Saccharomyces cerevisiae S288C: one gene and its partner. The protein of the gene in region 1 binds, or shares a complex with, the protein of each later gene. Each region holds a gene or a part of one and is shown on either strand. Other genes may lie near its edges. A codon is read from its position in the direction of its gene.

Region 1 (3,568 bases):
CATCGTTAGCGATTGATTTGATTAGAGATGTAGCAAAACCAATGTCCATCGAATCTATAAGACAAACAGTTGCTACTTTGAACGTTTTGATCAAAGATAAGGAAAGAGAGGAGAGGCAAGCTCGTCTGGCCCGTGTTAGAGGTGGTACTGCTACTGGGGGTGCTGGTAAGAAGAAAGTCAAAGGTAAGACCAATTTGGGTGGCGCATTTAAGAAAGATCAAGATTTCGACCTAGATGGCCCCGACGATTTTGAATTCGGTGATGACGACTTTATGTAATCTGCTTATTGTTTCTTTGCTATGATAAACTTGTCCATCTCATTTTGTTGGTGAAAAAAAGCGAAGCCCAGCACCGCAGGCCTTGGATATTGCCATATCACAATTGTCCTGAAATTGTGAATGTCTATATTCCCATATATATATCCATAGGCGTTTCATTCATATAAAAATAAATACGCATATGTGTACGTAGGAGATTGTGTTTTCAAGATGGAGAATATAATGTGTTTTTGCACCGTTATCTGGCTTTTTGTTAAGAAGTACTTCGTCTCGTTTCTGCTGATTCTCCCTGGAATATTTACATTACTTTAGATTTTACTATATATATATGCGAATATATGTGTGCAAATATTGATGCACTAGTGTGTACGCGTTTCATCATCAACATGCTCAATTTTCTTCCGTCTTTTTATGATCTCAATATAGTTATACGGAATGTAGCCAATATTGCCGTTCTTTGTCCTCACTTTCCACCAGTCAGAATCCCTCCCAAGAGGGTCTTTCTTACTCAAAATTGCCATCAAGTCGCCCTTTTTTAAAGCAACTTCCATCTCTGGGTTTTCTGGAACAAAATCATATAACGCTCTTGCAAATTCTAACTTCGAAGGATCAATAGGCTCGCTACCATTTCCTTGCGATGCTCGTATGGTTCCAGAGGTCTGTAGTTTAGTAATAAATTTGTTTAGTAGATATGGAAAACCAAATACTGCCATCAAAAAAAATAGTAGCGGTTTCCATGAAATTTTCCTTCTTGTGGCTTTCTCATTAGAATTTATGGTACCACTATCATTAAACTTTTGAAAATCTTCAATTAGTTTATTTTTGCTTCCTTCAGATTCTGCGAAATTCTTTGGTGGTATTCCTAGTCTCCCCTTAGTAGCACGATAGAGTATTTTTTTAAGAAACTTCATTATAGCAAAGATACCAAAAAATGAACCTAGCATTTCCTTCAAATTACCAAACTGTTCTGCGACGGATATCATGGTGAAAAACGAGTTGTGTGTGGCCATATAAGTAGATTCCAGCATTTGTGCAAATCCAGTAACAGCGCCTATCAAACTTTCTATTAACTGAAAGGTGGCCTTCGTCGACTCACCTAGTCCACTTCCATTATTCATTCCATATCCCGCTCCTGCACCGTACCCTCCTCCATAAAACGATCCATAATTGTTGCCATAGTACGATCCTCCATAGCCATACCTCCCTATGCTGTTTCCGTATATAGAGTTCATACTATACGGATTATTATCATAGGGTATCCCATAATTGCTATTACCGTATATTCCCGGTATTGTATTCGATTCGCCGTAGGTACCAGAGGAGTTAAGTGCCGCAGGCCGCGGCAAAACTTCGGGAGCAGACTCACTTGCACTATTACTGTTATTGCTTTCTTCAGTTGGCCTGGAATCCTGCTGATTCGAGGTCATCATCGCACTTAAAGACTGAGCATTACGCTGTGGCTCCTCTAACGAAGCACTGGTCTCCCAAGGTTTAGGTCGTGGTACTGCTGTGGATGACATCGCAGGTATTGTTATAGTATAGAATCCCCTTGATATTTATAGATAGTATATGCACTTTCGAAATTGTTGTTCATTTCCACATGCGTTTGCTCACCAACTATCTGATATAATTAATATTAGTCCGGCGGGCTTCGGAAATAAAAAAAATTTGGCCCGCTGAAAAAGGTGTCATTAATCAGATAAAAGAAGACTTTATTATATCATTTTTTTTGGTAATTAATGTATTTAAGTATAGGTTGAATAAACTTGAATGCAATATATAAATTATGTGTTTGTGATACCAGTCACACCGTGATTGGATTTTCTATTCAGCTTTTAAAAGCGGGGTATTTGCTTAGACGACACTATGAATAAATAGCTGCAGCATTCGACGTTGTAAGAAAAAAGATTAAATCACACGACAAGCCCTTTGAAGTTCAGTAATATTCAAATAAAAATTGTCCAATGAGAAGGATGGATAACGGAGAAATCACGCACATTGCAGATGCGTAACTCGATAGCCTACAATACAAAGCGCCTATCAGCATTGATGTATTGTGAATGTTTGTGTAAAATAAGTTAATTTAATTTGAAGTTGACGCTTCATTTTTCCTTCTTCTCCACTTGGACAGGAAGGTTAAGTTGGAAACCTCTTTTACTTTCCCCACTCTGCACAGATGCTGTTGTGGAAATAGCAGAAGTTGGCTCCTCTTCAAAAGCAACATTTAAATCTTCGCTAGTATTAGCATCCGTATCATCGTTTGTTAGATGATCTTCCTCGGACGAAGTTCCCGAAGAAGAATCTGGCTGTTCTTCAATTTTCTTTAGGTCTAAAACAGAAACGCGTGCCAGTCTAGTCTTAGGGCATGGGATTCTTGCTGAATTTCCTTCAGTTTTTGAAGTGGAGGTGGCCACTACTGCGGAGGATTCAGTCAATTTCTTAAGAACTTTTTTACAATTGAAGAATTTTTTCTCCAGTTGCTTGACTTTTCTCTCAATATCTCTTTGGGATCTTTGAGCCTGTATACTAGGATCCTTCATAACCTCAAGCATAAATCTTTCTTCAATGTATCTGTTCGTCGTCATGGAATGCACTAATTTTTCATTCTGCAACTTTAATTCTGTAATTTCAAGTTCTAGCTGCTTGATCTTTATGTCTAAATTCGATTTTTCACGACTATTTGCCTCCTCTGCATTGGCCATAGAGGCCATTTGCATTGAAATATGTTGTTGTCCGTCACACCATTCGGGCTCATAGTCCGTCGACGTAGACGAGATAAAGCTATATCTGTTGTTGTTGTTATTGCCTTTGAGACCATATTGAACGAACCCGTTATTATCCGTAGGTAAATTGTCTAGATTCAGATCCTTAGGCAATTCGTTCACTTCGGTGCTTAGACACTGAGTGGAGCCGCCGGAGACGACTCTAAGTCCTTTGTCCTCGACCTTTCGCACCCCATGATTTTCTGGATCTTCCAAAGGAGTAGCAGGAACAGGAACGTATGAGGGGAGCAACCCTTCGGCGTTTTTCCGTAATATCGGTTCTTCCGCACAGACTTTGGCCTCAAATGAAGGGGGATTGCGTTCTTTCTTTTGTACTTGCGCAACGGATTCTGAACTGCGCAGCTGCTCTAGTTTGTCCTTGATGCTTTGTTTAATGATGTTTTTCTCTATGTTCAATGGATCAGGGTTTGAATTCTGGCCTTCACTAGTAGTTTTCTTGCTATTCTTCAATAGGGCAGATAGCAATGGCAGATTACTGGTTGTTTGAGATAGGTACTCGGGTTTTAA
Region 2 (3,185 bases), on another chromosome or scaffold:
ATTTTAACAAAATCGGAGCAAACAATATCTAGAGCCTCGTGTAAGTGTGTAGTATCTGCAGTAGCAGCCGTGTTGTTGCTGGGTGTATCCACCAAATCGGACGCTTTCTTGACCTCATTTATATTTGCAGTTGTTGTTGTATCTTCTTCTTCCTCTTGAATCAAAGACGGGAACTTTTCATTAAAGAATTCCTTGTAAAGGTTCGAAAATTCCATGGAGGTCAATTGCCGCTCAGCACATTTTAGTGCTAAGTTGTATACTGATTCTTTTTCCATGGCAATTCAAGGTCATATACTAGCCACGAATAGCTTTGTTGAGGTGGTTTAGCTTACTCATATTTGTAGATTACTGTTTCAATTAGCTGCCAATATATTAGTGCTACTAAAAATGCCTTTCAAAAGCAAATGTTCCGGGTAACAATCAGATTGAATGTCCATAGTATCTAGGACAGTTACAATTACAATTTCCGTTAAAAAACTAATTACTTACATAGAATTGCGCTATGGGATGGAGTCTTCGACCTGTCCATTTTGCCAGTCAGGGACACTGATCTCATTGGCGGCGGTATTTTTTTGCCATTCTGGAATGGAGGCGTTGCTATCAATAGTTTGTTCTCTTGCTTTTTTCCACGCTGGAACAGCATTGTCATCTTTATTAGCATCGCTGCCGTTTTCCTTTTCTTTATCACTTTCTTCTTGCATGCCCATTTTGGCAAGAATCTCAGACGCAGATGGAATCGTATCTATGCCAGGTATACCATTAGGAGATATGGAAAATAATCTGTTGTCCTGCGCATTACCGGATTCCATACGGTTATTCATTAAGCTTTTCAGAGATTCCATTTCTTTTTGGATATTATTTAACTCTTGCATGCCGTCATTATCTGAAACAAATTTGTCGATCGTATTTTGCATATTGACCACCTCGAGTTTAACTATTCTAAACTCGTCTTCGATCTTTTCCCTGCTTCTTGTTGTCTGCACAAGCGCCTGTTTCAGTTCAGCAATCGTGTCACTAAGTTCCTTTAATGTTTCGCTTTCCTTTTTCCTAAACTCAGCTTGCTCCGCTTCGATGGCATTGAGGACTGTATCGATTTTGGAGAACTGATCATCAATTTCTTTTTTGTCCCCTTCCAACTTGCTTTTTGCTTCTGGTAAAATATTTGGTATCACATACCTTCTAGTTACTTCATATGCACCATACAACAGCCCAGCTGTGGCAGTAGCCATCACAAAATAGTCCTTCCAATCCCTGTGGGGCAGCGTTGGTGGCATCGCTTCATAGAGATACATATCCTGTGAGGCTCTATTCTCAGTACTACCAATTTTTTTCGATACTTCATCGCCTACGATACCGTCTTTCTTGGGCTCTTTCATGGCTATTTCAATCTCCTTTTCTGTTAACCCTTTGGATTTTAAAAATTCGATTTTCTTTAAAAGTGGAGCATCTTTAATGGACTCATCCTTTAAAAAGGATACTGCTGAGTCGAACAATGCCTTACGATCTTTACTGACCACGTCACTCATTCCTTATTCACCTTACAACTTCTCTGTTTTACTTGAGTTTTCAAATTGATGGGCAATTTCTTATATTTTTAAGCATTGAATATATGTTTTACAATTATCTTTCGGGCGCTTATTAAAACCGCTATGACTAAAATGAGAATGAGGAGAAAGAGAATCACTCAGCAAAAAAACCGTGGATGGTTAAAACGACTGAAGTAGTAAGCGAAGTTTCAAAGGTGGCAGGTGTAAGACCATGGGCAGGTATATTCGTTGTTGAAATTCAAGAGGATATACTCGCGGATGAGTTTACGTTCGAGGCATTAATGAGAACTTTGCCATTGGCGTCTCAAGCCAGAATCCTCAATAAAAAATCGTTTCACGATAGATGTTCAAATCTATGCAGCCAGCTGCTGCAGTTGTTTGGCTGCTCTATAGTAACGGGCTTAAATTTTCAAGAGCTGAAATTTGACAAGGGCAGCTTCGGTAAGCCATTCTTAGACAACAATCGTTTTCTTCCATTTAGCATGACCATCGGTGAACAATATGTAGCTATGTTCCTCGTAAAATGTGTAAGTACAGATGAATACCAGGATGTCGGAATTGATATCGCTTCTCCGTGCAATTATGGCGGGAGGGAAGAGTTGGAGCTATTTAAAGAAGTTTTTAGTGAAAGAGAATTTAACGGTTTACTGAAAGCGTCTGATCCATGCACAATATTTACTTACTTATGGTCCTTGAAGGAGTCGTATACAAAATTTACTGGAACTGGCCTTAACACAGACTTGTCACTAATAGATTTTGGCGCTATCAGCTTTTTTCCGGCTGAGGGAGCTTCTATGTGCATAACTCTGGATGAAGTTCCATTGATTTTCCATTCTCAATGGTTCAATAACGAAATTGTCACTATCTGTATGCCAAAGTCCATCAGTGATAAAATCAACACGAACAGACCAAAATTATATAATATCAGCTTATCTACGTTGATTGATTATTTCATCGAAAATGATGGTTTATAATGCCAATTTTTTTTTTTCGCTTGCTCACATTTATGTAATCGATAGACTCTTATTACTGTTTGAACTTCAAAAACAGCACCTTTTACTAAAATCATTAAATATTTCTTGAGGTATGCATAATTCTCCATTAAATTTCCCCTCAATTAATGCTAACGCAGCGCTCCCTAGACAGCTGTGATATAAATCAGCATCTTCTTCGTCATTTTTACTAAAGCCTCCAGTTAATGTTTTTTGCGTTCGATCAAGCAAATAATTTGTGACTAGTTCAGTTTGGCATAGCATTTTCCAATCCTTTGTTAGTAAGTGTAGTGAATTTAAGCACCAAAATGCGTAACACGTATCAGCGAACTTGTTCTCCCTTCCCTGGAAACCGCCATCATCAGATTGATCATAGCTGGCATTCAATTCGCTTTCAAATTTCATACATCCATGGCTTGATACTTGCCTATGTAATAGCCAGGTTATGGTGTCTTCTTTAAACTTGTCTGATAGCTTTTCCAAACTAGAGAGTAAAGCTAAGGTAGACAGCGCACAAGATGTGTACCCTGAGTGTGGTTCATTGTGGGCACCGAAAGCTCCGTTGTAGCATTGTTGCGACATTATATAGCCAAGCAACTTCTCAGTATCAATGTATTCATCAAAGTCTTCTTTGGATCGGCATCCG

The links. Proteins that work in one complex are often made in the same cells at the same time.
Region 2: the proteins of PEX13 (region 1) and PEX14 are in contact, whole or in part, in a crystal structure (PDB 1N5Z), measured with the Saccharomyces cerevisiae proteins. Residues at the interface, in NP_013292.1 of Saccharomyces cerevisiae: Tyr315 (codon at 856), Phe317 (codon at 850), Glu320 (codon at 841), Asn321 (codon at 838), Met324 (codon at 829), Glu325 (codon at 826), Pro342 (codon at 775), Arg345 (codon at 766), Asp348 (codon at 757), Trp349 (codon at 754), Tyr361 (codon at 718), Pro363 (codon at 712), Tyr364 (codon at 709), Asn365 (codon at 706), Tyr366 (codon at 703); in NP_011362.3 of Saccharomyces cerevisiae: Met85 (codon at 1,274), Pro86 (codon at 1,271), Pro87 (codon at 1,268), Thr88 (codon at 1,265), Leu89 (codon at 1,262), Pro90 (codon at 1,259), His91 (codon at 1,256), Arg92 (codon at 1,253), Asp93 (codon at 1,250), Trp94 (codon at 1,247).

The regions. Positions count from the first base shown.
Region 1 is NC_001144.5:535,502-539,069, reverse strand, and holds PEX13 (peroxin PEX13), read right to left. Parts: upstream 1,799-3,568; coding exon 638-1,798; downstream 1-637. Other genes in the region: HCR1 (translation initiation factor eIF3 core subunit j), read left to right, coding at 1-278; MMR1 (Mmr1p), read right to left, coding at 2,381-3,568. UniProt on the Saccharomyces cerevisiae protein: Component of the PEX13-PEX14 docking complex, a translocon channel that specifically mediates the import of peroxisomal cargo proteins bound to PEX5 or PEX21 receptors.
Region 2 is NC_001139.9:214,614-217,798, reverse strand, and holds PEX14 (Pex14p), read right to left. Parts: upstream 1,527-3,185; coding exon 501-1,526; downstream 1-500. Other genes in the region: NUT1 (Nut1p), read right to left, coding at 1-275; LYS5 (holo-[acyl-carrier-protein] synthase), read left to right, coding at 1,703-2,521; protein geranylgeranyltransferase type I subunit CDC43, read right to left, coding at 2,588-3,185. UniProt on the Saccharomyces cerevisiae protein: Component of the PEX13-PEX14 docking complex, a translocon channel that specifically mediates the import of peroxisomal cargo proteins bound to PEX5 or PEX21 receptors.